7 linked regions of the Canis lupus familiaris genome follow. The protein of the gene in region 1 purifies or fractionates together with the protein of each later gene. This does not show direct contact. Links are inferred from orthologs where the notes say so. Each region holds a gene or a part of one and is shown on either strand. Other genes may lie near its edges.

Region 1 (3,500 bases):
ATCTTACACCCCGTGGGCATTTCCAGGCTCTGTCCCCTCAGGTAACCAGCTCCTGTCCCCTGGGACCCCCAGGGCTCCTGGACTGGCTTGTGGACCCAGGAAGCCTGCTATATTCCCTCCTCCACTGAATCCCTTCCCCTTGGGGGGTGGGTTCCCTGGGGCTCGGGGCATAGCCACCAGTGAGTGGGTGGGCTGGGCCATGTCCTCCCTCAGCTCATTCTCCTCCCCCTCCCCTGGCCCAGAACGGGACAAGGAGAACCGGCACCGCAAGCGTAGCCACAGCCGCTCGCGAAGCCGGGACCGCAAGCGCCGGAGCCGGAGCCGTGATCGGCGCAACCGGGACCAGCGGAGTGCCTCCAGGGACAGGCGGCGACGAAGGTACCAGGGCTTGGGGACCCCTGGCTGGGAATGGAGTGTCCTTGCACCCAGACACTGGTGTGCTTCGGCCTCTTGAGTTCTCTGTGTGTGTGTGTCTAGGTGTCTGTTACTTGTCTGTCTTGCATATGGGCTTTTTTTTTTTTTTTTTTTTTTTTTTTTTTTTATACTCTGTTTCTAGAGTCTTCAGTTTCTGGTGGGTTGGTGGGGGCATTGGGTTCTTTATCATGGAGGTGAGTCTGGATTCAGGGTGCTGACTCTTCTGTGTTGTGTTCACGAGGCCTGGCTCAGTCCCTGCCTCCTAGGACCCGTTTCTTTTTCCCATTATTATTCTGTGTTTTTCTGGGATTGTATTCTGGGGTCTATACTCTGCCTCCTGGGAAGAGGGGTTCTCAAAGTGGGGCAGCCTCTGTGAACCCAGCTGCCATCTGCTTTGCTAATGCTTCTTCCCTCCCTAGCCTCCCCTCTGTTTTCTTTCCCCTTAAGCGAGGAAGGGTAGGGTAGGTGGAAGTTCTGCCTTCTTACATTTCAGTTTCTCCAAGTAGAAAGTGATCTGTGTGGCCTTTCATCCCTTCCACAGTTCCTCTTTCCTGGGTTGGGGGTTTGGGGGGGATGGCAGGGCCAAGGGGGCCTGCCCCCAGCCCTGGGGCTCTGTGCCCTTGGGGAGGTGTGGCGTGTGGGGAAAACGAGGGTCCCCAGTCACCCTTCCCCATACCTTTCCCTCCCATCCCTCAGCAAACCTTTGACCAGAGGCGCTAAAGAGGAGCACGGTGGATTGATGTGAGCTGCTCTTCCTGCCCCTTCCACCCTGATGTCCACTCCCTCTGCCCCTGCCCTCGTGTACCCTGCCCTGTCCTTGTCCAGCCCTGGCCCAAGCACTGGGGAAGAGGTTCCACTTGCCTTGAAACCAGCACCCTTCCCGAGGCCTGGGTACAGCCCTGACCAGATCCTCTCCCTCCTGGAGAGCACTGCACTCCTAGTGGGTAGCTGAGGGGAGCCTGGGGTGCTCACAGGCCCACCTTTGGTCAGACTGAGGTCGTCCTGCCCGGCTCTCCCTTCCCCCTTCCCAGTCGTTCCCCCCGCCATGAGAAGAAGAAGAAGGTCCGTAAATATTGGGATGTCCCCCCGCCTGGCTTCGAGCACATCACCCCCATGCAGTACAAGGCCATGCAAGGTAGGTTTCAGCTGTCGCCTCCTTGGTGGAGAACATGCTAGGTGGTTGAGGGAGCAGATCCTGAGCTGGGGGGCAGGGGGGATAAGGTTTGTGTCCCGGGCTTTCTGGATTTTGCCTTTTTGACCACTGCAGAAGAGGTGCTGTGAGGTTCCCATGGGGAGCTGAGCCTGTGTGGGCTGGTCCACAGGGAGCTGCCTCCTCCCCTATCCAGGCTCTCCCACCAGTGTGCTGGGGGTGGGATGTGTGTGTAGAGGATTGCCAGGTTGCCATCTAATCCTGCTCTTCCTTCTCCAAGCGGCGGGTCAGATTCCAGCCACCGCCCTCCTTCCCACCATGACCCCTGATGGCCTGGCTGTGACCCCGACGCCGGTGCCCGTGGTCGGGAGCCAGATGACCAGACAGGCCCGGCGCCTCTACGTGGGGAACATCCCCTTTGGCATCACTGAGGTACTGCCTACCCCCTGCCTTTTCCCTGCCCTCTCCCCAGTTCCCTCCCATTCCTCCCCTCTCCCCCTCCCCTCCCCCAACCTGCACGGGTCAGACTCTGCCTCCTGCAAGGCCCCCCGGCCCCCTCCCCGACGGACCGATGGAGTTGAGCCAGCCAGGGGCCGGGCTGGGGGTGGCCCTCTCCCTCCCTCCTCTTCCCCTCTCCCGTCTCCCCTTTCCCAACCTCCTCCAGCAACCCAGGGATCAAGGCACACACAACGAACCTACGAAAATCCATGAGTCCAGTCCGTATCGAGAGAGACAGAGAGGGAGACTCGCACGCGCGCGCGCACGCACACTGACACACGCACACACGCACACACGCACACACGCACAGACGCACGCTCCCCTCAGTTGTCTCTGACACACCTCTGGTTCTCTGCCGCCTGTTCCCATCCTCTCCCCACGTCCCTCCCGTGGTCGCTGCTCTTTTGTTTTGATGGCCCTGACCTCCCCAACCTTCCCCACCACTCCTCTCCCCTCCCTCCCCCCCACCCCTTCCCGTGGCACCCCGAGAATCCCGAGATCAAAGAGTTGTTTCCATTTCTCTTTAAAGTGAAATATTGTGGGGCTGAGATCCCTCGTAGCAACAAAAAGTTTGCTACCGTCGTCGAAGGCAAGTAAGGTCCATTCTGACTTTCTCAACCTGCACTTTGCTACGTTTGATAAAGCAGCCCCCGGACTCCAGGGCCAGATCCCGCCACATCACTCTTTTCTCCCCCTCCCACCCTTCCTCCCTCCCTCCGCCCTCTGCCCTCCTTGTCCCTTGGCTCCTCTTCCTCTCCCAACTCCTTTTCTTCTCTGGACTTGTCTTCCTCTCTGATTCTTCTCCCTTGTCTTTCCTGCTTTCCTGCTGTGCCTTCTTCCTGTCCTCACGGGATGTGCTCTCTCTCTCTCTCTCTCTCTCTCACCTTCCACCTCCCTGTTTTCTATTTTATGCTTTTTCTTCTTTTCCTGTCATTGCCATTTCTATGCGTTTTTCTTGAATGACGTGTCTCTGGTTGGGGCCCCTGCGGTCCTCCCCACACTCCTGGCCCCTGGCTGTCTTTTGCTGCTGCCTCCTACTCCTCCTTGCTTTCTCTAATCTTCTCCTGTCTCTGTCCCTGCTGATCTCTCTGCCCCCACCCCTGTTCCACTGCTCCCTCCCTTTCTCCTTCCACCCTCCCTTTCCCTTTCCCTCCCCTCCCCCCCAAACCCCTCTGTGTCTCCCTCTCTCACCCTCCCCTCCTCTCTCCACCTCCCTCCCCCCGCCCCCCCCCTGTCTCCTATTCCCTCTGCAGGAGGCCATGATGGATTTCTTCAACGCCCAGATGCGCCTTGGGGGTCTGACCCAGGCTCCTGGCAACCCCGTCTTGGCTGTGCAGATTAACCAGGACAAGAACTTTGCTTTCTTGGAGGTGAGCGGGTTGCATTGTGGGGTCAGAAGGTGTGTGTTCTTTCTCTGCAGCAGCCTTGATCTGCCCAG
Region 2 (3,980 bases), on another chromosome or scaffold:
TCACTTTACTTTTTAAAGATGTATTTATTTGAGAGAGAGCGAGCACGGGGCAGGAGGGGGGAGGTGTGGAGTAAAGAGCAGAGCGAGAGGGAGAAGCAGACTCCCACTGAGCAGGGAGCCCCATGCTGGGCTGGATCCCAGGACCCTGGGATCATGGCCTGAGCCAAAGGCAGATGCTTAACACTGAGCCAGTCAGATGTCCCTAAATTAGTCACTTTAAATGGGAGCATGGCATGGTATGTAATCATCTTAATAAAGCTGCTTAAAAAAATCAAATGGTCCTTTACAGGTACCAAAAGTACCAAACCAGCCAGGTTATCATACTTCCTTTTTAATGGGTGATGGGTACATAGGATAAGGTCTGGATAGTACTGTGTTTATAAAAAAAAAAAAAAAAAAAGTATAAGTGAACAAGAGCAGTTGAAACCGAGGCTGTTCAAGAACTGTCTATCACGCCATTGGGTAAGAGAAGAGCAGCCCGGGTGGCCCAGCGGTTTAGCGCCATCTTCAACCCAGGACCTGATCCTGGAGACCCGGGTCGAGTCCCACGTCGGGCTCCCTATACGGAGCCCGCCTCTCCCTCTGCCTGTCCCTCTCTAACAAATAAATAAAATCTTAAAAAAAAAATTAATCTTCCCTCCAGTGACATCATTGCAGTAGGCACTTCTGGCGCTTAAAATCATAGTTTACACCCGTGTTTAACGGTTCTTCCTTTCTGGACCACTAACTTCTTTCAGAATAGAGATTGTGTCTGATGTCAGCACCTGGAGATCTGAGAGTGCTTCACCATTTAATAGGTGCTCAAATGAAGGTTTTTTTCAGGAAGGATGCATCCACAACTGAAGCTAAATAAGTGCAAGGCGGTAAACCATGGGTCGCAGTAGAAGGACATGGGGTCTCTCCAACCAAAAGGCGGCACAAAAACTAATAAGCACAAGAAAGGAATCAAGGATGGGAAAAAAGGGCATCTCCTCCTTCCCACCGCCGCGACGCTTTCCCTGGAAAGTTCCAGAAGAGATGAGGGCGTGGCCGGTGACATCACCACGCCCCTCGGCGACCACCAACCGCAGGCGCAGGCCGTCCAGCACGCTTACTTTCCCGCCTCGCTGAGACCCAGAGATGGTGGGTGGGGCTGGGCGGGCTGCGAGGCTTACGTCACGTCCGGTTCCGGACGCGCCGCCGCTAGAAAGGGAAGACCGAGCGCCGAGGGGCGGGGCCAAGAAAGCGCGCGTTCTGAAAGGGGAGGAGCCGGCTTAAGGAGCGCCGCGTCACGTCCGGCAGACTTAGAGCCCGTGCGGAGGCGGTGCGGAGCGCTTCGGTACTCGGCGGCTCGGGAGCCCGTGCGTTCTGTGAGGCTGCGGCGGAGCCTCTATACAGAAGGCGCCAGAGGTTGGCAGCTTCGATTGAAGCCCGTCGAGCGGCGACAGCAGCTAGGAGTCATGAGCGACAGCGGCGAGCAGAACTACGGCGAGCGGGTACGTAGAGGTGGTGCAGGGGGCGGCCGTGTGGTTCCAGCTTGCATCTCTTCCCAGGCCCGTCGGCCTCGGCTCCGGAGACGGGCGATTTAGACTCCGAAGTCTGAGTCTTGGAAGCACAGGAGTGGGGTTTTAAAAGCCCTTGCGAATAGTGTCGTTAGTCACGAAGTAGGCCACTGGCGGGTTTGTGTGGCCCGCAAGTCGAGACGGCGGTTTTTTTCCGTTAGAAGAGGGGAGAAAGATTAAAAATGGCCGCTGCGTCCCCTTGGTGTTGGGGGAGGGGAGCGGTATCTCATTTCGCCGTTGCTCTCCTGCGAAGCCTCGCTGCCGCCATCTTGGGCCGGCTGGCCGGGCGCGCTGCCAGAGGCACAAAATGGCGGAGCAGCCGCGCGTCAAGGCGGGCCCGCGCCTCACAGACCGAGCGGGGGGAGGAAGGCAGCGTTCTCTGGGAGGGTTGGCCCATCGTTTAGCTTTAGAATCGTTTTGTGGACCCCGAAAAGACGGAGTCTGGGGTGTTCTTGGGGCTTTTTTACGTCGGGGAAACTAATCCGAGGTAGACAAGTTCTGGGCCCGTTAGAGGGGGTTTCGCGCGGGCTTTTTGTCTGGCCTAAAGGGAGTGCTTTTTTCCGATATCGAAAGTGTTTTCTTTCAAAGGAAAAAATCGTTATCGGTATCCGATGGACGACACCCTGAGGCTACAGAGGTTTTCTTGTTTTATGGAGCAGATATTTATTTTCTAGGGGACTGTGTAGAAGAAACTGACGGGCAACCATGTATGGCGCCGTTATTTCCTTTGTTTTGAGGCATTCTACTTCTGTGAGCCACAGCTTATGTTGGTACACTTTGACTTTGCCTCCACTTAACCCAAATGTTGAGTTCGGTAGTGGTTTGATTAGATTGCGGGAATAAGACCGCTTCCGGGCTTAAAAAGCGTGTAGTAAATAAAGCGTGGTTGCAGGCCTTGGGTATTCATGAAGATGCAAAAATACACAAAGCTTGTCAATCTCGGGCATTCGGAGGATATGGAGAATTTCTTCGAGTGAGATTAATGAAAAGCACCAGAGAACATGATTTTTTTTTAACTTGGTAAGGATAAAGAAGTTGGGTGCTTTGACAGTTGACTTAAGTTTTGCCTTCTAGTGCCATCCTAAGATCTCAATAGCGGTCGTCAGGTAAATCTATTCAAATACACTAGCAAACTTCTATGAAACCGATTTGGGGCCCTTCATTAAGAGGGCATTTTTTAAAAACTTCCTGTCTTAGGCCCTGAAACTTTGTAAAATTTACTGTGTAATTTTGGAACCAAATCTGATTTAACTTGAGTAATGAGGCTTCACCTATTCAGAGAATACTGGCTTTTTACATTTTCCTTTAAGACGGTTGGTTGCACCAACATCAGTGCCTGTACGAGTATTTTTAAGCTCTTGCTGTCCACCGTAAGAAAGTTTGGACCCAACCTACAAATTGTTAAGCAGTGATTGCTGATTCTACCAGTTGACTATATACCGTTGAATCTAGTCATCGGTGTTTGGAACGGGGGAAGCAAATGATAACTTTTAAGTCTTCGGTTTTCTTAAACAATTACTGAGTACTTTTTTGCGCTGCGAAGAGAATACAAAATGGCCGGTTTCTGAGAAGCGCTCTTAGTTGAATATACCTGAATAAGTTACTTGGAATGGTGTGCTTGTGAAAACGAACATTGCCCCAAAATAAATTGTCGTATTTTACATAAGGGAGGAAATTGCTGAAGGTAGGTTCCTGGCTTGAAACAGCTCTGGGTTGCCATCCTAATAATTTGACATTTTTTGATTTTTTTTTTCTGGTTAAAAATATAAATCCTTGTTTTTTCCACAACTTTGTTTACATAGGTTAGGTATTCGCTAAATTCTTATAAAGGAAAGTTACATGTTAGAAATTGATTTTTTTTTCCTTACATAAGTTTTGAGTCCTGGAAGCATTTCTAAACTTCGTAGTTTTATTTGGCATTTTGTTTTGTATGTAGATTGCTTTCCAATTGGTGTATTGGAAGCCGAAGAGATTAGAATAGACCGTAAAAAAGGTTGTGATTCCTAAAGAACTCTGGCAAAACCCTAAAGCTTAATGGAACAGATTAGATATGATGCCATAAACAAGACTTAAGTGTTTGTAACAGGTCTGATTGGCTAAAAACATCCTTTGAACTGAAAGCCGTGAAAAAGTTGGATTCAGGGTAATAATCTTGGACATACCTGTTAATAGCGTCTCTGGAGCCTGAAAAATTGTAGTAAATCCACTCTAGACCCTTAAACCTATCAAACTTGATGTAAATCATTAGTAAAAGCCTGATTGGTACCATTAATGTAATCACGTGTAATACAAATCTCCTTGGTTTGGCTGGAATTCCACCCAACCCTCCCTTAATTTAGCAGTCCAGAATTGAGACGTCGCTGTTCCTGAAGCCCCAGCATAGTTCCGGAAGTATTTTTTCCCCATTTCTTTAAACTTTAGAAGTTCACTTCCTAAATA
Region 3 (4,160 bases), on another chromosome or scaffold:
CTTTCCTATGACTTCTGGGATGACTGGAGTCAAATTTGCAGTCCATCTTTAGTAACTGGGCAGGCAATTACCTCAGGCATTTTGTATAGTATCCTTATCCATGACTTCATCTTAAATTCCTCCCCTCTTATTTTCCTATTCCCCCTGAGTTCTTGGTACAGTTTTAATAATGTTCTAGGTTACCTCTGTAAACTGCTTCACATCCTTGGGGACCATTGCAAACAAATACATACTATGAAGAAAATCCTCCGTAAACTCAGAGTGCAGATGTTTTAGCATATTTATGACGGCAGGGTTTTCTTAAAAGTTGAATTCATTACAAATATTTTAAAATCCCAACATTTTACATAAAAATCCAGATTTCAGATATCTCTGAAAAAAATGTTAACAGGTTCTTATTTCCCTGGGCCGCCATGCAAGTGGGATCAGTTCTGAGCAGCAACTGTGGTCTCCAGGGGTCACAGTTCTAACACATCCCCCCAGCTCGTTTAAATATTACCTGAGAGGCTCGGGAATGAGGTCAGAAAGAGGAACAAACTCCAGGATTCTGCCAACACACGCGCGCTTTTTCTTGTTTTTTTTTTTTTGAAAGAGTTGGATACGTAACAGGCACAATTCACTCTTCAACCTTTCAATGGACCTCACCTCTGCGCTAGGCCCAGTGATGGGCGATTAAAGAGAAGCTGAGGTCTCAGTCCTAGTTGACTGGTCAGGGCTCGGCCACCGCCACTAGGTCAAGGCGTGTTGAGCTGAGCTATACAAAGTCAAGTTCTGAGCCGGCGGTGGAACCGGGTCTAAGCTGGGTTGCCCTAAATGAGACACTTGTCTGAGCAGCCCACCGCCTGAGACCAGAGGGGGCAGGAAAACAAAATCACTACTCAGCTCGGGACTGAAGCACCAACAGCGGAGCTCCGGGACCAGCCTCCCTCTACGAGGATGTTCCCGTTTCCGGAGCAACCGCCAGGTCCCTCCCCCCTTAGCTCCGCCCCCAGCAGTCTTTCCCGCCAAAGGCCGTTAACGCCGCAGAGCATCGTGGGACAAGGCTCCAGGCTAGGTTTCACCCAATGCTTTTAAGGCGCGGACTTGTTTTAAAAGAGACTCATTCCTGAGAAAACGGACTATCCTTTAAGATTCGTCAGGGATTAGTAGCTCCGTGGACGAGGGATCTCTGTTTAATTTTTACCAAAGGGCCGGTCACGTCATTTGCGAGCCACTCCACAAATCCAGAACGCGAGGAACTTTTTTCTCCCTTCGCGCGGAGGGTGACGTCGCGCATGCGTGAGCGTACCGCTCGCAGCACCCGTTACGCTCTTGCGCGTGCGTACTGAGGCCGAATAGCAGCTTCCTCCCGCTTCTCTTCCTCCCTCCCCCCATATCCGTGCGCCGAGCTGATAAAGGCGCCATTTTGGAGGGGCCGCGGGAGACGTGGTGTCGCTGCGGGCTCGCTCTGCCGTGCGCTAGGCTTGGTGGGAAGGCCTGTTCTCGAGTCCGCGCTTTTCGTCGCCGCCATGTCGGGAGGTGGTGTGATTCGTGGCCCGGCAGGGAACAACGACTGCCGCATCTATGTGGGTAACTTACCTCCAGACATCCGAACCAAGGACATTGAGGACGTGTTCTACAAATACGGAGCTATCCGCGACATCGATCTCAAGAATCGCCGCGGAGGACCGCCCTTCGCCTTCGTTGAGTTCGAGGACCCTCGGTGAGGCGGCCTGGGCCTCGCCGCCTGGAGGCAATAAGTTGGAGTAGTTGGGGAAAGGCCTTGTTACCGAGAATGGGGAGGTGGGCTTTTAGGTTGGGGGTAAGACTGTGTCGCCCATGCAGGAGTCGAGTAAGAGCCGAGTCGATGTGGTTTCTCTGGTGGCTGGGCCCACGGACGTCCCCAGAGTGGACTCTCCGTCTCGGAGCGGGAAACTGAGGCGCCGAGGGCTGGTGTAGTGGTCGGGAGCCTGGCGTGCTTCTGGGTGGGGGAGGGGCCATTCCTATTATGCAGCGCATGTGGGCTCTTCCTCGCTGGGTGCGCATGTGCGGGGGCCGCTAGTTCCCGACTGAGTTAGCTGCCCCTCCCGGGCCTTACTCTTACACCTCTTGCTTTCTCTGATCACGCAGAGACGCGGAAGACGCGGTGTACGGTCGCGACGGCTATGATTACGATGGATACCGTCTGCGGGTGGAGTTTCCTCGAAGCGGCCGTGGTACAGGCCGAGGCGGCGGCGGGGGTGGAGGTGGCGGGGCTCCCCGAGGCCGCTATGGGCCCCCATCCAGGCGTTCTGAAAACAGAGTGGTTGTCTCCGGTGAGTTTTCTGTTGGTGAGGGTTGTTGAGGAGGGACAGGAGCCACTTTTAAGTGTTCCCTTGCGTGAGTGGTTTTGACAAATGCCTGTTTTTGTGGTAGGTCTTAAATTTAGTTTCTCGGGTGAGTTTAGTAAAGGATAACCGTAGTGGAGGTGTACCAGTGTGCTAGTTACCTACCATTAGGTCGGATGCCTGGACGATGAAGATCCTTACTTTACAGAGAATTTGGGACTTTGGATTCCAGAATCTTAATTAATGGCTCTCTTACCTACGATCTTGAATCTGATTAATTTTAAAGTGGTTTTCGTTCTAGTATAGATTTTAAGTGTAGTGTGAAATTTAGGGTGATTGGTATTGAAAAAATACTTTTTTAGGACTGCCTCCAAGTGGAAGCTGGCAGGATTTGAAGGATCACATGCGTGAAGCAGGTGATGTATGTTATGCTGATGTTTACCGAGATGGCACTGGTGTCGTGGAGTTTGTACGGAAAGAAGATATGACCTATGCAGTTCGAAAACTGGATAACACTAAGTTTAGATCTCATGAGGTAGGTTTTACACTTACTCTTTTCTTTGGCCAGAATTGGATACAGTGGTCTTAACAGTGGAATTTGAAGGTAAGATTCAGGCAAGGGTGTCCAAGTAAAATACCAGATTTCTGGTTTTAGTTACATTGTATTCGTTCAGCATGCCTGAAGACAGGTGAAAGCTTAGATCTTTCAATCGAAAGTTCTGTCTATTCAATAGGGAGAAACTGCCTACATCCGGGTTAAAGTTGATGGGCCCAGAAGTCCAAGTTATGGAAGATCTCGATCTCGAAGCCGTAGTCGTAGCAGAAGCCGTAGCAGAAGCAACAGCAGGAGTCGCAGTTACTCCCCAAGGAGAAGCAGAGGATCACCACGCTATTCTCCCCGTCATAGCAGATCTCGCTCTCGTACATAAGATGATTGGTGACACTTTTTGTAGAACCCATGTTGTATACAGTTTTCCTTTACTCAGTACAATCTTTTCATTTTTTAATTCAAACTGTTTTGTTCAGAATGGGCTAAAGTGTTGAATTGCATTCTTGTGTAATATCCCCTTGCTCCTAACATCTACATTCCCCTCATGTCTGATAAATTGTATTTTAAGTGATGTCATAGACAGGATTGTTGAAATTTAGTTAATTCTCCATGCTCTTCAGACTGTGATATTGTGTAAATGTCTATTCTGCTCTGGTTTGTGTGAACTGGGATGTTGGGGGTGTTTGTGGTTATCTTACCTGGGGAAGTTCTTATGTTTATCTTGCTTTTCATGTGTCTTTCTGTAGACATATCTGAAGAGATGGATTAAGAATGCTTTGGATTAAGGATTGTGGAGCACATTTCAATCATTTTAGGATTGTCAAAAGGAGGATTGAGGAGGATCAGATCAATAATGGAGGCAATGGTATGACTCCAAGTGCTATTGTCACAGATGAAATTGGCAGTATTGACCTTATACTAAAAGGCAAGGGATAAAAGTGATTATATATATATATATATATATACATCTACCTTAAAACACTTGCAAACATCTTGTGCAGTTATCTTTAGCTACAATTGCTTTGCTCTTTAAACCTTGGCAATTGTGGCAAAATTACATTGCCCATTTTGTAACAATTATTTTGCTCCCTTCCCCCCTTTTTTGTTTTAATAGGGACTAATGTGGGAAGAACTGGCTAATTTGTCACAGTGCTTAGTTACAACTGTTAATGTGTGACCTGCTGTTGGTGTACATGTGGGTACAGGGTGTCTTTAATTCCAACCAGATAGAGTATAATATCAATACTGCTAAATCTGCATGTCCTCTGTGTGACTGATATAGCGTTGCTATTTCATTTTTTTAA
Region 4 (3,500 bases), on another chromosome or scaffold:
CCAGTTTTCATTGTTCAGGTGAACGCCCTCCTGTAACAGCCTTGAGAAGCTGGGTGTTGTTCTCCACGGAGCCCTGGAAGTCCCTGTGGACCTGTGGGAAAGAGACCTCCCAGGCCCCGATCCCCACTGCCAGTGGAGGCGAGAGGGCCGGTCCCTCCACGCTCACAGGCATCCCTCTCATCGCTTCACCCAGAAACCTTGAGTCTCCCTCAGGGGCAGTCAGGTGCTTCGCCAGCAGGTGGGGCAGTGCTGGCCTCCCGTGAGGTCTGTCTGCAGGGACCACAGAGCTTTGGGCAGACCGTGGCTGCAGGCCCCCGTGGCTGTTGGGGTGCAGTGTTCCCTGGTCTCACTGAGCGTGGCACAGAGGGCTCTCCTGGTGTCATAGTCTCCTTTTTTTTACAGTGAAACGTTTGTTTCACAGCGTGATTGCCATAGTTGATGGTGCTTATTTTTCATGCTTTGCCTGACAAAACTTAAAAGTGGGCAGCTCTGGGTGGGCTCGTATAATGAAAAGTCTGACCCTGTGATGTGTATAATCCCCTGATTTGTCAGCCTTCAGGATGGTCGTGTTGCTGGTTCCCAGGTGTGAGGTCTTCATATGCTCATTAAGGGAAGAAGAACCAAGCGAGGGAGAGGTCTGGATCCGATAGCATTAGGGGCCGACCCGAGTCACGCTGCAGGCCATACCCGATGTGCTACTTTCCTATGGCCCCTGTAGCAAATCCACAGAGTTGGTGTTTTTTTTTTTTTGTTTTTGTTTTTAAGATTTTTAGTTATTTATTCACGAGAGACACAGAGAGAGAGAAAGAGACAGAGACACAGGCAGAGGGAGAAGCAGGCTCCATGCAGGGAGCACCATGCAGGACTCGATCCCAGGACCCCGGGATCAGGCCCTGGGCCGAAGGCGGCTGCGCTAGACCGCTGAGCCACCCAGGCTGCCCTGAGTTAGTGGTTTAAACGACAGGTCTATTGCTGAGCAGTTCTGGAGGTCTGAAGTGGGGGGGGGGGGTGCCTGGGTGGCTCAGTCATCAAGGGTTGAATTCTTGACTTCGGCTCAGGTCGTGACCTCAGAGTTGCGTGATTGAGCCCTGCCTCAGGCCCTGCACTGAGTGCGGAGTCTGCTTGAGATTCTTTACGCCCTACCACCCCTTTGCTTCTCTATTCTCTTCTGTTCTTTTAAAATAAGTAAATAAATCCTGAAGTTGTTTTTCTTAAAGTGTAAAGGCAGGGAGACCTGCTCCTGCCTTTTCCCACTTCCAGAGGTGCCACCTCCCTGGCCCACAGCCTTTCCTCTGTCCTCACCACCAGCAGCGTGGGGTCTGCCCGTCTGTAGGGCTTCCATCCTCTGCCTCCCTCTCAGGAGGATCCCGGGGTCACCCCCACCTCAGGGACCTGGACTTGCCCGCCCCTGCAAGGTCCTTTTTGCTATTTATGGTTCCAAATCCTCAGGTTTCAGAGATTAGAATGGAGACATCTTTGTGGGGTCATATTCACTCCTGAGCCCCATTCCATGAACTCAGCTCTGCAGGGACAAGACACCGTGGGTTTACGCCAGGGGCCTGGGGCTGATCTTACCCAAGTCAAGAGAGAACGTGTTTGGAGGGCAGAGGGAGGTGCCTGGAGGTTGGATCTGAGCCGAGCCTGAAAGAACTTGGGAAGCGTGGTGGCAGGGAGTGGAACCAGGCTATTTAGGACTCAGGAGAGTCCTGCTTGGGCACAAGTAGGTCTTGGATTTCTTGTGCATTGGGCAGAAGAAGTAGGTAGGTAGCATCTTCCTTGCCTTCAGCAGATTTACAGCCGAGCCACAGAAGTAGAATTTAGTTTGGGGAAAGTAAACATAGACAAGTGGAAATAATTCAGAGGCGAGGACACCGAACACTTGGGCAGTCCACGAAGGCTTCCTGAAGGCGGTGAGACTTGCTAGAGAACTTGGCCACCTCTTCCCTGTTGCCATTTTGGGTCTCAAGCTTTTATACTCCTCGGACTGCAGTGGCTTCCTCTTCAGTCCCCCGGCGCCGTCATTCATAGACACCCCACCTGTCCTTGTTCGCTCTTACTCCAGTTAGTGTGTGCTCGGCTCACCCGGGCCCTCAGACTACTGCAGGGAAGAGGAGGCTGGGAAGGGGGTCTTCACTTGCCCCAGCAGCAGCTGCCGAGTCCTGCGCTCTCACAGCCTCCCCTTTGGCCCTGCAGGTCTCTCTGCCAGTCTGGTAAAGCCCCAAGGCCCTCACCATGGACTTCCAGCATCGCCCTGGGGGTAAGACCGGGAGTGGAGGCGTGGCCTCCTCCTCGGAGAGCAATCGAGACCGCAGGGAGCGCCTCCGGCAGCTGGCCCTGGAGACCATCGACATCAACAAGGTTGGTGAAACCAGGGGCAGGCGGGTGGGCAGGCGGCCTCCCCACCCACGTTACCCCCTCTCCCTGCACCTGGTGCCCTTGGCCCTGCTCTCAGCTTTGGAGTCCTGGTCCGTAATTGAGAGCCCTTGACCTAGAGCAGCTCCTCCTGTCCACCCCAGAGCCCACCTGCTGTTCAAAGGGTCTTTTTATTGCTTGAAGTTTTTGGTTTTGTTTGATTTACCGGAGATGTGGAGAACTGTCAGTGGTGAGGGTCATGATAGCGTCGCGTGACTTGATGATCTAGCTGTAAACGTCAGAGGGCGGTGTTTTACTTAGGTGTACAGAGCTCTTGGTGGACCAGGGTCTCCCCACCAGCACTGCGGACATTTAGGGCCAGGTTGTTTGCCAGATTGTTTTGGGCACTTCTGGCAGCTGGGCAGCGTCCCTGGCTCCCACCCACTCAGTGCCCAGGAGCACCCTAGTTGTGACAACCACAGGCCCAGACACCACCCAGTGTCCCTTAGGGGCAGTGTCACACTGGCTGTGACCCTAAGGGTCAGAGTATGGTTTCCCTTAGACTTTGAACCTCTGTGAGATGTGTTGAGCCCTCACCATGTGCCAGGCACCCCCAAAGCTCCCAGCGTCACCTCTGAGGTCAGTTGTGTTACCATCCTCATGAGGAAAGAAGGGAGGACCACCACTGCCAAAGATGACAGGGCCCCCGGGCAGAGGAGGTAGGGTTTGAGCCCCAACTGGTGTGCTCTGTGCCTCAGGTCAGAGTGCTTGTGGAAAGTCAGCCGTCTGGCCGAGGAGGCCCTGCACGCCGAGACAAGCGTCTCTATGGGCCTTTGTTTTAACCCATTTGCTTTTGTTCTTCCTGTGTCTGGCCTGTGCGGTGGTGCTTGGAATCCCAGGGGGGTTAGCCACCTGTCCCTGTCCTGACCCGGGAGGTGGACGCCCCACAGTGCCCTCGTGACTCTGCTTCCCTCTGGACCCAGTACTGCCACAGAGGTGGGGCCGGGGGCCAGCATTGGTGGCCCCCAGCCCTGCCAGGTGGCCTGTATCTGCGGGGGCCCAGGTGGTCCCACAGTGCTGCCTCAGAAGGCCCTGCGGGGGCCCAGGCCACAGGCTGCTCCTAGTTGTTTGTCCTCGGAACACCTGCC
Region 5 (2,904 bases), on another chromosome or scaffold:
CGACGGCACACGCATACACCCAAAAGGCCTGCAGGCACGTAGCTAGGCCATCCTTAGTGGCACCTGTCCTGGATGATGAGTTACAACTTTTACAAGGTAGCCCATTCAGGGAGGAAGTGTGTGTCACATTTTCTTCCATTCAAAATGAATACAGCTTTGAGCTCCATGCAAAGTGTGTAGCAGATTCTTGTTATTCACCATAGTTCTGTTTATGCATTTGCTGGGAACCCTGAGCCACTGCTTAGGGAAATCCAGGGTTAGGTTCTTGGGAGCCTTTTGGCTTATTTTTGTCAACTGATCCATACGTAACCTTATGTGTGTTTCTGTTTGAAGATAGCTTATTTAATATATGTTTTACAATTATATACAATGTTTCTTTATACTTAAACTGCTTGAGAAAGATTTAACATTTTCCTGACCCCGAGTAATGTGACTGTCAACTTCTTTGGCTGTCCACTTTTTTTTAAATCAGTCATTGTCAAAAAAAAAAAAAAAAAAAAAAAAAAAAAATCAGTCATTGTCTTATGAATCCACAAACTGAGCTGCTTTTACCACAGCATTACAGATGTTTTTTTAGAACTTGATGGAACAGCCTAGGTACAATTGGTGAATTTCCTTTTTCTGAATGTATCTATCCTATTGTTAAATTTGTGAACACTGAACTCATGGCCAACAGCACAGTTATTCATCACCAAACGAAGCTCATGTAATCCACGTATTTTTACTGTCAGAGACCTCACAGCCTTCCTGCACTACTGGACAGCATTTCAGCCCTATGCTTCAGGGCCATTTTCAACAGTGAAGTCACCGACAAAAGCTCAAATGTGGCACTAAATACACCTTGAAAAGGATCCTTTTTTTTTTTTTTTTTTTTTTAAATAGTATGAGAACTGAAACAAGGCAGAGTATTGCCTTGTTCAACCTTATCTGGGAACAAGCTCACTGGGCAACTCAAAATTTTCACTGCTCTGCCTATGTCTGAATGACGGGGAAAGCACTGCGAATATAGATTTTTGAGGTCACAAAGTTTAGTGAGTTTGCAAAATCAGCACCCGCAAATAATGAGGACAGGCAGTATATTCCTATAACTCTGCTACTGCTCATTCAACAAAGTAGATGGCCAGCAAAACAACTGAGTCACTAATACATAGCCATATGGCCTCAACAGTAACAAGAGAGAGGCAGTGTGCCAGTTTTTCATCTAACGGGCCATATAGAAAAGCTGGGCAGAATGGCATACAGCTTGAGAACCTGCTCATCCTTGCAATAATTTAGAAATAGCTCCGACTACATATAACTCAAAGCAGACCGTTCAAGCTTCCGCTGGCAATGATGGGCTCAATACAACTCTATTAAGCTTTAACAATTCCCTTCCAGCTCACCCTGAAGAACTTAGAGCATTCACTTAGGTGTTGTCTTTTTAATTTAGTTGTTAGATGACCTTCTCAGTGTCATAAAGCTAGTAAGCAGCTGAGCTAGAACCTGACTCCAGGTATGTTACATACTAAAGTCCTTTGGTCCTCTGAGTAAGAAAGTAAGCGTCACCAGACCTGGAAAACCCACTTCCTCCTAGATAACACTGTTGGCAATACTCCTTCTGGGATGGTTGCCTTCTACCCTTTAGACAAAGTTATCAGAACCTCCCCGTTTTTACAAAATTCTTTTATCTCTAACGTAGCACCTGCCTTATCTTGTAGGCAATTGGGTAGATGGTGGTCTTTTTCCTATACCACACTAAGGCTAGGTTCTATAGTACTGTTGCCTGTAGACCTTCCTGTGATGAGGGAAACGTTACATAAATCTGTGCTGCCCAACACAGTAGCCACTAGCCATACATGACTGTTGAGCATTTGAAATGGGGTTCATATGACTAAAAAACTGAATTTTAAATTGTATTTGATTTTTAACTTCTAGTTAGATGTGGTAGCAGGTACTGTGTTGGACACCACATATCTAGAGAATGGTGTGGCATGAAGGGAAGTCCCTGGAATTTGACAGGCTTGGATCAGATCCCAACCTCTGTCACTTATTAACCATGTAAGCTTGAACAAGTTATTTAAGTTCTCTGAGCCTCAATTTGGATATCTACTAAATGGGGATGATATCATTTACCTCGCAGTGTTTTAAGTTTGTGAATGTATGTTTATATATCATACATACACATATATGAATGTATGTGGAGACTAGCACTTGAACCTGCTGTAGGTTCAGGTAAGTCATTACATTTGTCTCCACCTACTCTGGTAAATATGCACATCACTGGAAAATACTATCATAAACACTAGTAGTACTATTATGCAAAATCATGGAACATAGTTCATTGCTTCCCCCCAAAATGGCTAACCATACTTCTTAATATGAGAAGTATTCCATAAACCAGGGAAGGTTTCCACAGTGCTGGGGAAGTGGTGCACAGTCTCCCTGTCTCCTCTTGCACCAGAAACTCTTAGAGAAATACAAGTGTCCTCTTTCCTTCTCTGCCTTCCCTTTTGGGAAGGGCAAACATGAAGTGGATTCAAAGAGAAGTATGGAAAAGCAAGGTTTGTGGCTTCCTTCCAGGTTTATCACACAGGAGAACAGCAGGGAGCAACACACCCCCAGGTCCTTCCTCTCCCTCTACTTCTACAATAGTCTGCATAATTTGGCCTCAAAAAAACCCAACAAAAAACAAAACAAAAAAAGTTCCCATCAAGGTAATGAACTTTGAATTTTTTAAGAGTTTCTGGCATCTTTTCTTTGACCATTTGCAAACCAGCAGAAGACTTACCCGTTTGTGTTGCCTTGCAAGTTTTTCTTTAGCTTCTTCTAGCTCTTTCTGGATTTTGAGAACGTGTTTGTTCATCTTACGAATTGTGGAGTGCAAAATTTCCCAAACAAACAATCTTAAAGTAACATAACATTTAG
Region 6 (3,500 bases), on another chromosome or scaffold:
TTAGATCAGTAATAATAAAGAAAAACATGTACCTTTCTGTTGGGATAACCACTTTGACTATGGCTTGCGACAGAGTCTGTATATGAAGTCACATCAGATAATAAACATAGAATATGTGAGTATTGTTAACAAGTAACAAGCAAAAATATACATAATGCATTGAAAACACTACACATCTAATCACAAAGTTTTGCAGGCAATCACTGCATTTGAAGTAATTATACACTAAGCAATTACATAAATGCAAATGGATGTGTTCAGTGAACAATAACTGTTCACCAAATGCAAAGAATCAGAACATTCCTGCCAGAATGCACATCAATGCACTGAAATAGGTACTACACCGAGAATTATCAGATAAAGATTTTAATTTGTGAAATAATTAACTGTTTGCCTCTGACCATACAGTTTGCTACTTTGTTCCCAAGCCTTTAAAACCAGCCCTGTCATTTTAAGTGTAATTATTTCATAATAGAACCAACAAATTCTTATAAACTTGAAATTAAGTTGGTTTTATGTTTAATAAAAAGAAAATACTCACCCTTTGCTTTTAACTAGAGCAGTTAACTGTTTTAAAAAACCACATACGCTCTCAAATACTCTAACATCTCAGATCCTGAGAACTAAGTTAGCTAGCAGCCATCCAAACAGTTTAACTATTTAGGTTTTTCTAATTGAAAAGTCACTTAACCAAATACAAAATATCACTTTCTCAGAACAAAGTAAATTTAGATACTGCACTTAAGCAAACCTGGATACAACAGTGGACAAAAGGGAAAAAAACTTAAGTGGTCAAAAAAGGAATGGTAGCCACAAATAAAAATATGACCTAGTATTTCAATATAGGGTTTCCATGGGCTAAGGCAGGGAACACATCTACTTATTTCTTTCAGAGTTGTCAAACAGAATTACACACACACTTTCTATAAAATTATTGAAAAGAAAGACTACCACAGATTTAGTATTTACAAATTAAGATGCGGCCCTATGTACATTTTTTAAATTACCTTCTCAAAATCCTCCTTGTTTTTAGGTGGCGGTAACATTGGAGCATTGGGGTTTTTTAACCTCTCTCTAGGCTGCGCATTAAAAGGCAGTCCTGATGGAGGTGGGGGAAGTGTATGTTCCATCATAGAAGGCGGAATGTATATTGGATGTGGAGGAATAGGCACAGCTTTACCCCAACCTAACTTCATTTCAAAAGACATAATCATCTTTCCTACAAAAAAGAAAAGAAAGGTCACCCTGGTTAACTCTCAAAAGAAAAAATTTCTGTTAATTTGAATTATTTTTCATGTTTAACCTTTCCAGTTCTGGTCCATTTTCCCCCTAGAGGTGTTTTGTTTGTTTGTTTTAAAGATTTTATTTATTCATTCATGAGAGACACACAGAGAGAGAGAGAGAGAGAGAGAGAGAGAGAGAGAGAGGCAGAGGGAGAAGTAGGCTCCATGCAGGGAGCCCGACATGGGACTAGATCCCGCGTCTCCAGAATCACATCCTGGGCTGAAGGTGGCGCTAAACTGCTGAGCCCCCAAGGCTGCCCCCCCCCACCCCGAGTTTTTATAAATACTTTTCAGAGCCAGGAAAAAAAGTGAATTCTATAGTAGACAATAAAAACTTTCTTACCATTTAAATTTTTTAAAGCTCTTTCAGCATCTCTTCTATTCATAAAAGCCACAAAGCCACAATTTCTCTCTCTTGCTCTTTCTTCATCAGTTCTAGGCCACATAATTTTCACACTGGCTAAGGGTCCAAATCTTCCAAATTCTTGACAAAGCATTTCTTCATTCATCTATTAAAAAGCATATGAGGGGTTTTTTTGGTATGCAAATAAAAGGGGGAAATTCTATCCAAAAGCAAGCAAATGTTTACAAAATGAACAGTGAGACATATCAATGCTACAATTTTCCACTGAAGCACCAGGACCTCTATACAGTAAAATCTTGCCCTCAGGTGACATTCACAAATCTTTTCATACCAGAAACACAAGTGTTCAGGGTGAGGAGGCTTGGTGGCTAAATAAATCAAAAGTACACCTCTATCTAGCTCTCCTCCTGTTCCTTTTGAGATCTTGCATATTTAAAATAAGCTGTTCTTCGGCACTGGTTTGTTTTTGCATTTAGCAACGTTTATCAGGCAACAGTGATTATCACATTTAAGACAAGTAAAAAATATATGTTGGTAATGAAAGCAAAAAAAAAGATCTGATCACTTTCTCTTTTTCCAATACCCAACATTATCAAGAAGAGAGAAAAGAGTAAATACACAATGAGGTCCAAAACATACATAATTTAAAAGAGCATATTATGGATAACTACCACTACATTCTTCATAACACAAGTAACGCTGAAGTGAGGAAAAGAATTAAGAAGAAGCACAAATTACTAGTTTGCTATCGTGAAAAGAAAAAAGAAAAAGGATATCATTAAGGAAGCAAGCTATGCATAAGGTAGTCTCAAAAGAGCACTGTCCACCACAGATCATGATTTGATAAATAAAAAAAAATCAGTACACAGTAAGACATTTCAAATTCAGACAGTCTAGTCAGAGAAAGACGAGATAAGCACTGTGGCAAGACAGTTCAGCCATATCAACAAGCCTCAATTTTATAAGATAATTTTAGAGACTTCTATAGTTTCTGAAGTTCCATCAAGTCTGCTTACTTCAGGTGCTTGATTTTATTTTTTCATTGACAAGGCAGTTTTCTTCCATAATTATAAAAAATATGAGCCAATGTTCATCTAACTTTTCTAATATTACCTGTGGATTAATGTTTCCAAGATATAAATTAGTAGTGCTTGGATCTCCTACATCATGTGAGCCAGGTGCATAATCATCAAGAACTAGGACAAAGAGGGGGAAAAGAATTATAACCTGCAAACTACAAAATTTGGACAATTTCTATTAATTAAAAAAGCAAAAAACTGTATTACCACCAGATGATCTATTTCTTCTGGAAGGCGCATCCACTTTAAAGGAAGGAAAAGAAAACAGTTCTTAGTTTTTTAGAATAGTTAATCACAAATATAAACATTAAAATAAATGCCACTTACTAGAACGACGCTGACCATCAGAATCTGACTGAGGAGGCTCAAATCGGCTTAACCTGCCTTTTGTCTTATGTCTCTCATCACGCTCTTCCTGAATTCTGTTGAAAACATTTGTTATCACTAATAATGAGCCAAAAGTTGTTCATTCACAGTTATTAAGAATATAAGTTATCCAGGTACCATGTTCATATAACTTGAAATATTTGTAAGTAATTAAATGCCAGCACTAACAACCGAGATTAGAAAGAAAGTCCCTCAGCTATTAGTCATGAGCAAATTTCTGATATGTCATGCAAGCATTAGAATACAAAACCCACTTCTAAGGTGAGGAGCAAATTCAACATTAAAACCACTGAATCTGTCCTTTCTTGGTTAAGTTTGCTCACTCCTCACCCCTACCTCAGTGACTACATTGTTTCCACTGCAAACAGGACTCCGGACATTAGATAA
Region 7 (4,139 bases), on another chromosome or scaffold:
GATTACTCCCAAGACCAGAGAGAGGCTCATAATCAGGCCAAGGCTCTAATCTTTCTTTCAGGGAGGCTCTCAAAGATTATTGCATTGTTGGGCAGCCCGGGTGGCTCAGCGGTTTAGCACCGTCTTCAGCTCAGGGCCTGATCCTGGAGACCCAGGATGGAGCCCCACGTGGGGCTCCCTGCCTGGAGCCTGCTTCTCCCTCTGCCTGTGCCTCTGTCTGTCTCTCTCTCTCATTAATAAATAAGTAAAATTTAAAAAAAAGGATTATTGCATTGTTGATCAATAATGAACAGGGAGCCCCTCGAAGGGATCAAAGAGCCCGTGTAGCTTGAGTCTCTCTTAACGGACTATATAAACATATCTTCTTGGACCTGGCTTCACAGTCCCTTAATTCTGAAGCACTATTTTTTGTTACCGTTTTAATATTTGCCTCAGATTGGCTGCTTGCATTCTCTCTCCAGAACCACTTTTCTACAGTCTGCTATGATGAAGTCATTGTGGAGTTTTGTGGGAACACCTACCTGATTTTTGTAGGACTCATTTTCAGTAATTTTGCTTTAATTTTCTCCTTGTACATTTTCACCCCCTCTAACAGCTCTTCCTTTCACTTTTCCCATTTTTCTTTCCTAGAATCAGCTTTTGACAAACTGCTTTTTACTGTCATCCGCTCATAATCTGCCACTGCTCCAAACATTCCCTTAATTTAACCAGTGATTTTAAAATAATCTGTTCTGTGAAACCTGTGATGAATGCCTTGATCTCATCCTCTTTATAAAGAGTCTCCAAAAATTAAAATGGTGATAATTACTAACTCCAGAACACATCAAGAAGTCTCCACTGCTCTCAGGCTGGGAAGCCATTTCCACCCAGCCTTTAGTTTCAGGTGTTCCCTTGGGTCTTCTGGGTCACCTTCAGAGACCGGGGACTCCTCAGCCCAAGTAATCAACATGTGAGCAACCTCAGTGAACATGTTACTCCTTCCCTAAATTCTGCAATCGGAGCCGCCTTTATCCGTCTCGCTGTTTTCGGTTCCCTATTTTCTCCTTGGCAGGAAATTACTCTTTTTTTTCTCTCACGCTGATCTTCAATACCGGAGTCCTTGAGGTCCCGGTTTAGGGGGGGAACTCTCCCAGTCAGCATCTCCCGGAGCTCAACGCTGCCGCGGTCAGACCCTCCCCCGCCCTGAGAAAGGGCTGGCGCGAGGCAGCGGCTCTCCTCTCCACAGCGTCCCCTTCCGCAGGCCCCGGCCCTGCCCCGCGCCCCGCAGACCAATCCCTGGCTCCGCCCCGGGAGCGGCACAATGGCGCCCTCGCGGCCCCGCCCCTGGACGCACGCCGCGGAGGCCCCGCCCCGCCCCGCCGCGCTCCTCGCGTCCTTCCGGCTCCGTGGTGGAAGTAGCCCTTCGCCGCGTCTTCCTGGAGAAGAAGGTGGGGTTCCGCGGGGAAAGCGGCCGGCGGTCACGCCAGCAGCCGGAAGTGGGGTGGGGGCGCGGGCTCTCCGGGCAGCGGCCCTCGGGTGCTGGGGTGCGGCCGAGCGGGGACTGGGCGAGCCCGGAGCAAGCGGGCTGCGGGAAACGCCGCGTGCGCCCGACGGGCGGGAGTTGTGCGCCGGGGCCGGCCGCGCGCCAGGCCCCGCCCCTCGGGGCCCCGCCCAGGGCGCGCTGCCAGGGGTTTCCATGGTGATGGTAAACAAGCCTCAACTGCCTCAGCTACAACTGCCAAGTTCCCCGCGTTCCACCCTCCTCTAGGTGCTCAGAGGGACGATCGAGGTGCCGGATGTGAAGAGCGGGAGCGTGGAGACCCGGAGCCCGAGGTGAGGGGCGGGACGGGCGGCGGGTCGGAGGCTGAGGGCCGCACCACTGGGACGGACCGAGAACCGGGCCCTCTGGGCTGGGGGCGGCGGGGCTGGGATACGGATTTGGGGGAGGCTAGGTCTGAAGTCAGGGGCCTCACCCACGGGGACCGAATGGGCATTGGGCACGCAGGGGCTGAGGGTTGGGGTCGGGAGAGGCAGGGGCTGAGGTCAGGGACTGGGCCCCCTGGGGCTGAGAATTGGGGTCACGGAAGGTGGGGTCAGAAGTCCACGGCCGTAGAGTCGGGGACTGGACCCCTGGACTGAGATCGCGGGTGCGGGGAGGCAGGCCTGAGATCAAGAGCCATCCCCTCGGGGACTGGACCGCTGGGCTGGGATTCAGGGCCGCGGGAGGCAGGGAGGGAGGAAAGGCCTGGTGCGGCCTCCGGGGTTAGCAGAGCTTGAGCGCCCTGCCAGAAATAGCGCGAGGGCACCTGACGACCGTGGGAGAGGGGCTTCATTTAAAAATGAAAGCAGTACTTTCACGTGGTTGAGTTGCACCAGACTGGTTGGCAACTGACTCCTCCCCCCTCCCACGTTCCCGCTCGCTGAGCCTCCACTTTCGGTCTTTGAGGCCTTTTCTTCCTCTCGGTGTGGCGTGTGAGTGCCGAGCGCCGGTCTCCGTTTTGTCTCCTGCTTTTAGAGGTATTGTGTCTGGTTTTTGGGTAGAAACTCTTTGGTTCTCGTTATCTCTGCCGGGTGACCACACTTACGCGGAGCGAGCTTAATCGGCCGTTTCTTTTTCCCTTGCCCTTTATTTCTTTGTATCCTTGAATGTATTTTTTGCTGGTTCTTGACTGCGCCTAAGAAACTTCTGGACTCTGCCGGCGCTTGCGCTGCGCCCTCTACCTTCGGTGTGCCCGCGTGGGTCCCTGAAAGTGGCGCCGGGCGGCCTGGTGACGCCGGCAGAGTCCGGGGACTCGCCCGACCCCGTCTTTTATAGACCGGGTTAGGAGGCCACAGGCCCCTCCCTGTTGGTCTGTTCCCTTCAGGAGCTCTCAGGTTCTCGCCGGACAAATCCCCAGACCCCGGAGAGCCCCTTCCCCAGCTCCAGCAGGAACCCCCTCCCCCGCCGCCCCGCGTCCCTCGGGCCGGGCCCGCCGGCCGGACTCTCCTCGCAGTAGTTCCCTTCCCCCGAGGCCTCAGGACGCAGGAACGTGCTTCCTTTAGCTCTCACAGCTACCTGGGGGTGTCCGGGCTCCTGTCTGCCCCGCGGCCGCGTGCGTGGCGGGAGCGGGGTCCGCGAGCTACGGCTCGCTGAGTGGGGGGAACCGCCCGCCGGGAAGGGGGCCCCCGAGGTGCCCAAGGTTAACGCCGCGCCTCAGGTCTCCGGAAGTTGGTGGCGCTGGAAGAGCTCTGAACACTTCAGATACTCTTTCAGTTCAAAACGTGGTCGAAATTCCCTATCTTAAATGTAATTCTATTACTTACAGTCATTTTTTTAAAGGTTAACGGTTTCTGAATTTCTAGTAAGAATGAAAATACTTCGGGTTCTCCGGTTAGACAAAAAAATGCGTTGGGGTATGTCAGTGAAAAGTGATGTTTTCAGTGTTAATTTCTAGTCAAGATTCTTCATTTTGAAGTGAGTAAATTTCTACTTATGAAGTTTGGGAGAGGTTGCTGATGTTACTAATTACTGGTCTTTAAGCAAGCCCATCTTTAGTCATCTCTTGTGCCTGTATGCATTTCTGTAATTTGATTAGATTTATTACATACTAGGTCTTTTTTATTTTAGGTTTTAAAATAATTTTTTAAAAAGATTTTATTTATTCATGAGAGGCAGAGACACAGGCAGAGGGAGAAGCAGGCTCCTCACGGGGAGACCGGGGGAGACCGATGTGGGACTTGATCCTGGGTCCTTGGATCACGCCCTGAGCCGAAGGCAGAGACCCTCAACCGCTGAGCCCCCCTAGGCGTCCCTAGTTTTTAAAATTTTAACATTGTTTTTGTGGTATTTTTTTGGCAATTTTTAAATTTTATTACTTTTTAAATTTTTATTCTTGAGAGACATAGACAGAGGGAGAAGCAGGCTCCACACAGGGAGCCCCATATGGGACTCGATCCCGGAACTCCAGGATCACGCCCTGAGCCAAAGGCAGACGCTCAACTGCTGAGCCAGCCAGGTGTCCCTGTAATTTAAAAAAAAAAATTAGCAGGTGACTGGTTTTCATTTAAAAGTCTTGCTACAGGGCAGCCCGGGTGGCTCAGCGATTTAGCGCCGCCTTTAGCCCAGGGTATGATCCTGGAGACCTGGAACCAAGTCCCACGTTGGGCTCCCTGCACGGAAC

Evidence for each region.
Region 2: the proteins of U2AF2 (region 1) and TRA2B purify together in Homo sapiens (affinity purification with mass spectrometry; 4 studies listed by BioGRID and IntAct, counting the BioPlex papers as one, with this or other methods). This does not show direct contact. The link is inferred for Canis lupus familiaris from reciprocal best matches to the Homo sapiens genes U2AF2 and TRA2B.
Region 3: the proteins of U2AF2 (region 1) and SRSF1 purify together in Homo sapiens (affinity purification with mass spectrometry; 4 studies listed by BioGRID and IntAct, counting the BioPlex papers as one, with this or other methods). This does not show direct contact. The link is inferred for Canis lupus familiaris from reciprocal best matches to the Homo sapiens genes U2AF2 and SRSF1.
Region 4: the proteins of U2AF2 (region 1) and SF3A2 purify together in Homo sapiens (affinity purification with mass spectrometry; 3 studies listed by BioGRID and IntAct, with this or other methods). This does not show direct contact. The link is inferred for Canis lupus familiaris from reciprocal best matches to the Homo sapiens genes U2AF2 and SF3A2.
Region 5: the proteins of U2AF2 (region 1) and NCBP1 purify together in Homo sapiens (affinity purification with mass spectrometry; 3 studies listed by BioGRID and IntAct, with this or other methods). This does not show direct contact. The link is inferred for Canis lupus familiaris from reciprocal best matches to the Homo sapiens genes U2AF2 and NCBP1.
Region 6: the proteins of U2AF2 (region 1) and U2SURP purify together in Homo sapiens (affinity purification with mass spectrometry; 3 studies listed by BioGRID and IntAct, counting the BioPlex papers as one, with this or other methods). This does not show direct contact. The link is inferred for Canis lupus familiaris from reciprocal best matches to the Homo sapiens genes U2AF2 and U2SURP.
Region 7: the proteins of U2AF2 (region 1) and HNRNPF fractionate together in Homo sapiens (co-fractionation; 3 studies listed by BioGRID, with this or other methods). This does not show direct contact. The link is inferred for Canis lupus familiaris from reciprocal best matches to the Homo sapiens genes U2AF2 and HNRNPF.

What each region holds. Positions count from the first base shown.
Region 1 is NC_049222.1:102,850,845-102,854,344, reverse strand, and holds part of U2AF2 (splicing factor U2AF 65 kDa subunit), read left to right. Parts: intron 1-242; coding exon 243-378; intron 379-1,110; coding exon 1,111-1,155; intron 1,156-1,445; coding exon 1,446-1,549; intron 1,550-1,844; coding exon 1,845-1,996; intron 1,997-3,315; coding exon 3,316-3,432; intron 3,433-3,500. UniProt on the Homo sapiens protein: Plays a role in pre-mRNA splicing and 3'-end processing. By recruiting PRPF19 and the PRP19C/Prp19 complex/NTC/Nineteen complex to the RNA polymerase II C-terminal domain (CTD), and thereby pre-mRNA, may couple transcription to splicing.
Region 2 is NC_049255.1:18,824,673-18,828,652, reverse strand, and holds the start of TRA2B (transformer-2 protein homolog beta), read left to right. Parts: upstream 1-1,180; 5' UTR 1,181-1,439; coding exon 1,440-1,475; intron 1,476-3,980. UniProt on the Homo sapiens protein: Sequence-specific RNA-binding protein which participates in the control of pre-mRNA splicing. Can either activate or suppress exon inclusion. Acts additively with RBMX to promote exon 7 inclusion of the survival motor neuron SMN2.
Region 3 is NC_049230.1:32,652,926-32,657,085, reverse strand, and holds the start of SRSF1 (serine/arginine-rich splicing factor 1), read left to right. Parts: upstream 1-1,360; 5' UTR 1,361-1,508; coding exon 1,509-1,702; exon of another isoform or gene 1,703-2,109; coding exon 2,110-2,294; intron 2,295-2,668; coding exon 2,669-2,841; intron 2,842-3,040; coding exon 3,041-3,235; 3' UTR 3,236-4,160. UniProt on the Homo sapiens protein: Plays a role in preventing exon skipping, ensuring the accuracy of splicing and regulating alternative splicing.
Region 4 is NC_049241.1:57,264,475-57,267,974, reverse strand, and holds part of SF3A2 (splicing factor 3A subunit 2), read left to right. Parts: intron 1-1,774; exon of another isoform or gene 1,775-1,910; intron 1,911-2,193; 5' UTR 2,194-2,232; coding exon 2,233-2,358; intron 2,359-3,500. UniProt on the Homo sapiens protein: Component of the 17S U2 SnRNP complex of the spliceosome, a large ribonucleoprotein complex that removes introns from transcribed pre-mRNAs.
Region 5 is NC_049232.1:55,304,732-55,307,635, reverse strand, and holds part of NCBP1 (nuclear cap-binding protein subunit 1), read right to left. Parts: intron 2,883-2,904; coding exon 2,768-2,882; intron 1-2,767. UniProt on the Homo sapiens protein: Component of the cap-binding complex (CBC), which binds cotranscriptionally to the 5'-cap of pre-mRNAs and is involved in various processes such as pre-mRNA splicing, translation regulation, nonsense-mediated mRNA decay, RNA-mediated gene silencing (RNAi) by microRNAs (miRNAs) and mRNA export.
Region 6 is NC_049244.1:39,151,482-39,154,981, reverse strand, and holds part of U2SURP (U2 snRNP-associated SURP motif-containing protein), read right to left. Parts: intron 3,149-3,500; coding exon 3,054-3,148; intron 2,970-3,053; coding exon 2,934-2,969; intron 2,844-2,933; coding exon 2,761-2,843; intron 1,793-2,760; coding exon 1,627-1,792; intron 1,220-1,626; coding exon 1,008-1,219; intron 77-1,007; coding exon 33-76; intron 1-32.
Region 7 is NC_049249.1:3,803,346-3,807,484, forward strand, and holds the start of HNRNPF (heterogeneous nuclear ribonucleoprotein F), read left to right. Parts: upstream 1-1,339; 5' UTR 1,340-1,427; intron 1,428-1,741; exon of another isoform or gene 1,742-1,747; 5' UTR 1,748-1,812; intron 1,813-2,351; exon of another isoform or gene 2,352-2,496; intron 2,497-4,139.